2 linked regions of the Canis lupus familiaris genome follow. The protein of the gene in region 2 interacts with the protein of the main gene of each other region in a biochemical or structural test. Links are inferred from orthologs where the notes say so. Each region holds a gene or a part of one and is shown on either strand. Other genes may lie near its edges. The genes, in order: PRDX1 and PTEN.

Evidence for each region.
Region 1: the proteins of PTEN (region 2) and PRDX1 form a complex in vitro, tested with the Homo sapiens proteins (2 studies listed by BioGRID and IntAct). The link is inferred for Canis lupus familiaris from reciprocal best matches to the Homo sapiens genes PTEN and PRDX1.

What each region holds. Positions count from the first base shown.
Region 1 is NC_049236.1:14,937,121-14,940,924, reverse strand, and holds part of PRDX1 (peroxiredoxin-1), read right to left. Parts: coding exon 3,788-3,804; intron 1,940-3,787; coding exon 1,809-1,939; intron 1-1,808. UniProt on the Homo sapiens protein: Thiol-specific peroxidase that catalyzes the reduction of hydrogen peroxide and organic hydroperoxides to water and alcohols, respectively.
Region 2 is NC_049247.1:38,116,676-38,121,202, reverse strand, and holds the start of PTEN (phosphatidylinositol 3,4,5-trisphosphate 3-phosphatase and dual-specificity protein phosphatase PTEN), read right to left. Parts: upstream 2,943-4,527; 5' UTR 2,835-2,942; coding exon 2,756-2,834; intron 1-2,755. UniProt on the Homo sapiens protein: Dual-specificity protein phosphatase, dephosphorylating tyrosine-, serine- and threonine-phosphorylated proteins.

The sequences.
Region 1 (3,804 bases), on a different chromosome or scaffold from region 2:
GAATCCCTGGGTGGCTCAGAGGTTTGGCACCTGCCTTCAGCCCAGGGCATGATCCTCAAGTCCCGGAATGGAGTCCCACATCAGGATCCCTGTATGGAGCCTGCTTCTCCCTCTGCCTGTGTCTCTGCCTCTTTCTCTCTGTCTCTCTCACGAATAAATAAAAAAATCTTTTTTTTTTTTTTTTTTTTTATTTACTTATGACAGTCACAGAGAGAGAGAGAGAGAGGCAGAGACACAGACAGAGGGAGAAGCAGGCTCCATGCACTGGGAGCCTGATGTGGGATTTGATCCCGGGTCTCCAGGATCGCGCCCTGGGCCAAAGGCAGGCGCCAAACCACTGCGCCACCCAGGGATCCCTAAATAAAAAAATCTTAAAAAAAAAAAAAAAGTCTAGCCTACATGCAAGGAACTAGTAAAAGTCCAACAAAGGACTTTGCCACTCTCCAGCTCCCTCAGTCTTTGTGCTGAATCTCATCCCCCACCAGGGGGCAGTCTCAGCAGCCATCTATCTGCTTCAATACACTAAGAGTCCACACATGCTGCAGCAAATGGTGCCTTTGGGTATCATGGTCACTGATCCATGTTAGCTTTTCACTCTAGGCAAGCCACTACTTTTGGGTCCCCCCAACAGACACCACTAATTCAGACTCTTAACTTCCATGTTCTGTATCACAAAATCAGAGCTGAAATGGGCTTTAGAAAATTAGTCTGAAATATTTATCACCTAAAAGAAAAAGTATTAAGGCAAATTCAAACCAAGTACACCTGTGCACTTCATCCGACATCAGTAGCACTTCATTGTAACTATCTTGTCCTCAGTTACATGAAATTTGAGAGCTTATGAGGTTCTCCATACCCCACAGACCAAGCACTTGCAGCCTCAGGACTTAAGCCCTTAAAAACTAAACTCACTCTTAGGGTAAGACTGTCTCATTCTATCAACAACTATACTCCACTCCAAGAGGGGGTAAAACTCAAAAAGCTACAACCTAGGATGCCCAGGTGGCTCAGAGGAAAAACACCTGCCTTCAGCCCAGGGCGTAGATCCCAGAGTCCTGGGATCAAGTCCCACATGGAGCTCCCTGCATGGAGCCTGCTTCTCTCTCTGCCTGTGTCTCTGCGCCTATTGTCTCTCATGAATAACTCTTTAAAAGGGGGGGGGGGGGGGGCCAGCCCAGGTGCTCAGTGGTTTAGCACTGCCTTCAGCCCAGGCTGTGGTCCTGGAGATCCAGTCCCACATCAGGCTCTCTGCATGGAATTGAGCCTGCTTCTCCCTCTGCCTTTGTCTGTGCCTCTCTCTGGGTCTCTTATGAATAAATTAAATTTTAAAAAAAGGGGGGGGGGATCCCTGAGTGGCTCAGCGGTTTAGCGCCTGTCTTTGGCCCAGGGCCATGTATTACTTTAAAAAACAAAAACAAAAACAGTACAACGAATATGGATCAAAGGGATTAATCTCTTCTCCCAATAAACACTTGTCAAGAATGGCATGCTATATGTCAAGATGGAATTCTCAAACTTTTCGTTTTGCCCTTCTACACACCTAGGAGATCCTCCTACATGCCTTTAGTAAGTTAACAGCTGCAACAGTGATTCTAAATGAGCAGGGCAAAAGCTGGAACTATGCAGCTTCAACAAAATGCCTTTATATTATCCTCCCTGAACTTTTCCATTACCTCACCAAACCACCCACTATAATCCAGAGATTTTAATTTCTTGAAAAGACACTTTTATTTGGTAGACCTTGTTCCTGCCATCTTTCCTATCCTACCTACCATTCTGTTGTCAAGTCAGCAGGTGGATTGGCTTACCTTCCCCATGCTTGTCAGTAAACTGGAAGGCCTGAACCAGTCGCAGTGTCTCATCCACAGAGCGACCAACAGGAAGGTCGTTTACAGTGATCTGCCGAAGGATACCTTTATCATCAATGATAAAGAGGCCCCTGGGAAAAAGAGATTGAAAGTTTGAGGGAAATGCAACACAGGTTTAGAAATCGCTTTGTTAGAACACAAACTCAATAGAAAGGATTATCTGCTGGCCTCTCCCAGACTTGCACTGGCTTTGTCTTCTTCCTGCATAGAGAATGAAATAAGAAGGGCAGCCCAGGTGGCTCAGCAGTTTAGTGCCACCTTCAGCCCAGGGTGTGATCCTGGAGACCCAGGATCAAGTCCCATGTTGGGCTCCCTGCGTGGAGCCTGCTTCTCCCTCTGCCTGTGTCTCTGCCTCTCTCTCTCTGTCTCTATGAATAAATAGGTCTTTAAAAATAATAATAAAAAAATAAAATAAAAATAAAAAGGGCAGGGGTGGCACCTGGGTGGCTCACTGGTTGAGCATCTGGCCTTTGGCTCAAGTCATGTTGTTCCCAGGGTACTGGGATCAAGTCCCGCATCGGGCTCACTACAGGGAGCTTACTTCTCCCTTTGCCTATGTGTCTGACTCTTTCTCTGTGAAAAGAAAAACCAATCTCTACACCAAGATCAGAGTCCTATGCTTTTTTTTTTTTTTTTTAAGATTGTATTTATAGGGGCATGATCCTGGAGTCCCGAGATTGAGTCCCCCATCAGGCTCCCTCTGCATGGAGCCTGCTTCTCCCTGCCTATGTCTCATGAATAAATAAAATCTTAAAAAAAAAAATGTATGTGTACATGAAACAAAGACACTCAACCACTGAGCCACTTTTCTTTCTTTTTTAAAGGAATAATGAAATGAAATCATCGTGTTGTACAGTTTATACATTAAAGGGAGTACTGGCTGGGTCACTCAGTGGAGCATGCAACTCAGTCTTGAGGTTGTGAGTTCAAACCCCACGTTAGGTAGAGTGGACTCAAAATATTTAAAAAATAGGGCAGCCCCGATGGCACAGTCGTTTAGCGTGGCCACCTGCAGCCCGGGGTGTGATCCTGGAGACCCAGGATCAAGTCCCATGTCGGGTTCCCTGCATGGAGCCTGCTTCTCCCTCTGCCTGTGTCTCTGCCCCCCCTCCCCCGTCTCAATAAATAAATAAAATCTTAAAAAAAAATCTTTAAAAAATAACTAAGAGGGGCACCTGGGTGGCTCATTCAGTTAAGCATCCAACTTTTTTTTTTTCTTTAGTGAGAGAGAGAGAGAGAGAGAGAGAGAGAGGCAGAGACATAGGCAAGAGGGAGAAGCACGATCCTTGGGAAGCCCAATGTGGAACTCCATCCCAGTACTCTGGGATCATGCCCTGAGCTGAAGGCAGACCCTCAACCACTGAGCCACCCAGGCACCCTAGCATCCAACTATTGATTTTGGCTCAGGTCATGATCTCAGGGTCAAAAGATCAAGCCCCATGTCCAGCTCCAGCATGGAGTCTACTTCTACTTGAGATTTTTCTCTCTGCCCCCTCTCTAAAAATAAAAACATAATTGAAAATAAGTAAATTTTATATAGTGATATAAGTCAATTATTGTTCAGCAAATTAACTGAGGGGGGGAAAAGAAAAAGAGTTTACAGATCAGGCCTCTACCTTTCTCCAAAAGGCTCTCAAGTCAATTGGTTTGCTTGGGGTTTTTTTGAAGATTTAATTTTATTATTTATTCGTGAGAGACACACAGAGAGAGAGAGAGAGACAGAGAGACAGAGAGACAGAGAGACAGAGACACAGGCAGAGGGAGAAGCAGGCTCCCTGCAGGGAGCCTGACATGGGACTGGATTCCGGGTCTCCAGGATCAGGCCCTGGGCTGAAGGCGGTGCTAAACCACTGAGCCACCCGGGCTGCCCATCTATTAGATAATTTTGATGAAATGTCAGCCCCCTGGCAGGTGTATACCTGAACGAGATGCCTTC
Region 2 (4,527 bases):
CATAAGGGAACGTAACTTCTCACAGGCTAGCTGCTGAAGCAGACACTACAACCTGCCAAAGTCCTCAATGGCCACCTTAATTTCCCCCCACAATACACAGAGAACCCTAAAGCGAAACCAAGCAAACCAAAGTGCACTGGTGTAATCAAAATTATTGGAAGTCCAACTAACAAAAAAAAAAAAAAAAAAAAAAAAGAGCCCTTCACTGACTTTTTCCTAAATGATTTTTTTTTCATATATTTGGCTCAATAAAACCACAACTCTAGAAATCAAGTGTTACTAGTCATTTGACGCAGCGTCTGACACTGCTTTCTATGCACACCCTAACTAAAAGTACCCTTCTAGTAACAGTCTCTAGGTCACGTAAATTTCAGGTATGGAGGCACACACCTGTGAAGTCAAAGGCGAGCTGGCCAACCAGCTCAGGACTCCTGTGTAAGAACCCCGCAGAACGATCTGAATCTTAAAGCCCTGACTATTTTAGAGCAAATGGGTAACGTAAAAATAAACCTACTCTGAATGATAAAAGCAATCTACCAAACAGCATCCACAGACATTGGTTTTTGCACGGGGATTTTTTCCTAAAAAGTCAAAGAAACGTGTAATCAATTTGTTCCTATACACCCAGACGGCTGTCAGTTCACACTAACGCTAGATTGCTTTTGAAATAAATTACAAATCAGAAGTTGTCCAGCAACTGGTCACCTTCTAGGCAAGCGGGTCAAGTTCAGCCTGACCAGTGTTGCAATCAATGCAGACTCCAAAACTTCTAAATAGTCTTCTAATACATAATTTTTTAATCAACAGAAAACTTACGTTTTGTGTGCTAGAAAGCTCCTTCTTCGGTGACTTTTACCTTCAGCTCAAAACAGACACTTGGGCAGAATTAGCTGTGCACGTTTATGTGCTGCTATGTAATCCAAAGGGAATTATAAAAAAAAAAAAAAAAAAAAAAAAACCTCTTCAGATGTAAAGAATTTTCTTCAAAAACCAAATCCTCCCCACAGTGTTTAGCAGGACATATGGATCCTTCAGCGCCACTCCACCTTTAGGCAAAATGTTTACTGGTGTTCGCTAAAAATGATCTTTATTAAGAATCCTCCAATAACAACCGACGCAATCACGTTTGAACTAAATACCGTCCACTGTTATAATTCACATCACCAAACTTCTGGCCTTCACAGAGGCCTTGTTAATAAGATGCTGTGGGCATCTCAGACCCACAAGTCAATTCTGTTTTTCATGCCTTAGACACTGGCCTAAGCAGGAACGCTGAACGCCTGTGATACTTTCCATTCTGGGGGAAAAAAAAAAAAAAAAAAAGGAGGGCTCTCTGCCCCAACTCTTGATCAAAACCAGTTCATTATACCTGAAACTGCCAAGATCAATGCCTTTCAATAACCGCTATCTTTTCAGGTACAAAGGCCTAACTTTTAGGCAACCGAAACGATACTCCTGTTAAAAATTCTCGGGTTTCTGTGTCATTCAACAACCTGAGTCAGTAAATTCAAGACACTGTGTGGAAAACCAGCTAACATACCTAGACCATGCGAAGCTGGAGTGATCCGCTCTTGCCTGCGTTGCTGGTGATTAGCTGGTAAATTACACCTGACCTTACACCCGAGCCCGAGTACAATTAACGGACATCACGCGGCGTCAGGAGTCCTGAAAGCTGGATGAGGTGAGCAGCAGTTCTGGACTCGCAGTGGCACTTGCATTTCAAGGAAGAACTGAAGCTTCATGTCTGCAATCACGATTTGCTGCACACAATACCCCAGAACCCACACAACACGCTCCTCCGGCATCAAGAAGCAGTCAATCCCCATTCTGCTACGTGAGACAAGACCACTGAACCTAAAATGCGGCTGAGCTGCAAAATCCCATGCCCTGTCCTGGATCACCCCATCAAGGGAGGGGGGAGGGGGGGAGGGGGAGGGGGAGGCAAATTTCAGAAAGACCGAGCAGCAAGAGCGGCTCAGGACGTGCGTTACCTGTGACACTATTGATCGCGAACTACACAACTTGGGAGAGGCAGTTCCCGGTTGTAATTCAACTCGGCGTGAGCACACGCGAACCTACTTTCTGTGCCCTCCAACGAACGCCCCGAGTGCTGAGAGCGATTCTGCTTCCAAAGTTATGCAAATCAGCTCACAACTCCCATTACGAATTAAAAAAAAAAAAAAAGTCTATCAATGCGAGCAACCCAGGAAACTAAATCACTGCGAGATTCTGATGCAATCTGCATACGTGCAACGCTAATTTTCATCTTCATCTAATCTGTGCCGTCGATCTGGGGGCCTAAAGCCAAGGTTTGACCGAAACGTGCTCGACCCCGGAGCCCGGGCGCCGCGTCCCCTCCGCGCGTCGGGCAGCCCGGGTTCCCGGCTCCGGGGTCCGCCGAGGGGCACCGAGTCCCGCGGGCGCGGACAATGGCCCTCCGGAGGGGCCGGGCGCGCGCAGGGCCGGGACCCGCCGCCGCCCGACAGCCGCGGCCGGGCGGAGGGGCGGAGGGGCGGAGGGGCCGGGGGCGCCGGGGCCGGGGCGCCGGGGCCGGGGCCGGGAACGAGGTCGGAGGCCGGGCCGGAGCCCCGAGGCCGAGGTCGGAGGCCGGGCCGGGGAAGCCGAGGCCGGGGTCCGGGGTGCGGGTGCGGGTGCGGGTGCGGGTGCGGGCGCGGGGTCCCGAGTCCCGGGTGCGGGTGCGGGTGCGGGGTCCCGGTGCGGGTGCGGGGGCCCGCGGCCGCGCGGAAAGGGATACAGGTCAAGTCCAAGTCGAACCCATCCTCCTGGTAGCGCCTTTTGTTTCTGCTGACGATCTCCTTGATGATGGCTGTCATGTCTGGGAGCCGGTGGCTGGAGAGGAAGGAGGAGAGAGACGGCAGGAGCGGCGGGCGGCGCGGCCTCCTCCGCAGGCTGCAGGCGGCCCCGGGCCTGGCGGCGGGCGGCCCTCGCGCGGCCGGGGCGGGCGTCGGCGGCGGGGCCTGCGCGCGCTCAGGCGGGCTGGCGGCCGCGGGCCGGGGCGGCGCCGGGGGGCCGGGCGGCCGGGCGGCGGCGGGGGGCAGGCTCTCGGGCGGCCCGGGGCCCTGCGCGCGCCGCCGCCGCCGCCGCCGTGGTGCGGGCGGGAGCGGGGGGGGCAGCGGGGCGCCGGCGGCCGCGGCCCCCTCCCCGGAGCCGCCGCCGCCCGGCCGGGCCCGCGGCTTCCACGGTCCCCCGCGCGGGGCGCCGAGCGACGGGAGCACGGCTAGACGCGGGCGCGGGGGGCGCGGGCGGGGGCGCGGGCGGGCGCGGGCGCGGGCGGGCGCGGGGGCGCGCGGGCGGGCGCGAGGGCGGGGGCGCGGGCGGGCGCGGGCGCGGGCGCGGGCGGGGGGGCGGGCGCGGGCGCGAGCGCGAGGCCGAGGCCGAGGGCGGGCCGCCCGCCGCTGCCGCTGCCGCTGCCGCTGCCGCCGCCGCCGGCCGGCCGGCTCCCCGAGGGCGCTGCCCCCGCGGCTGCTCACGGGCGCTGAGAGGGGCTCTGGGCCGCGGCCGCCGCCGTCTCTCATCTCCCTCCCTGCGCGCGGCCTCGCCTCTCCGCGGCGCAACTCTCAAACTTCCATCATGGCTGCAGCTTCCGAGACGAGGCGCCGAGCAGCGCGCACGCCCGCCCCGCCGCGTATCCTGCCGCGGCGCACAAAGAGTCCCGCCACGCCGCCGCCGCCGCCGCCGCCGCCGCCGCCGCCGCCGCCGCGAGCCCGGCGCCCCGGAGCCCGGGGGGAGGCGGGGGCCGGGGGGAGGCGGGGGGAGGCGGGGGCCGGGGGGGGCCGGGGCCGGGCGGGGGGAGGGGCGGGGGGCGACCGCCGCGCATGCCCAGTGCGAGCGGCCCCCGGAGCTGCACTTGCCGCGGCCGCTCCTGCAGCGGCGGACGGACGGACGGGCGGGCGGGGGCGTCGGGGACCCGAGTCGGACGGAGGTCGCCGCGCACCGGGGGCGCAGGGGGCGAGGGCGGGGCCAGCGGACCCGGGGCGCCCCTCCCCCGCCCGCAGCTCCCTGTGTCCGCCCCGTGTGCCCCCGCGTGTCCGCTCCCCGCGTGTCCGAGCACGAGGAACACCCCCACTATGGCCCTCGCGTGGCCACTGCCCCCGTGCCTGCTCCCCGCGTGTCGGTGTGACCACGAGCACCCCCCGCGCGTGTTCCCCCGTCCCTCCCGCATTGGTGTGAGCACGAGGACACCCACATTGTGCCCCCCGCGTGTCCGTCCCCCGCGTGTCGGCGTGAGCACGAGGAACACCGCCATTGTGTCCCCGCGTGTCGGTGTCCCCCCGCGTGTCCCCCCGTGCCTGTCCCTCGCGTGTCCGCCCCCCGCGTGTCCGCCCCCCGCGTGTCGGCGTGAGCCCGAGGAACTCCCCCCATTGTGTCTCCGCGCGTGTCCCCGCCCCCGGCTCGCCCCGCCGCCCCACCCCCGCCGCCGCGGGCCCAGGACCCCGGGGACGCGACCACCGCGCCGCCCCGGCCTCGCCCCCGAGAGCGGGCGTCCGTCCCTCGGGGCGCCTGCTG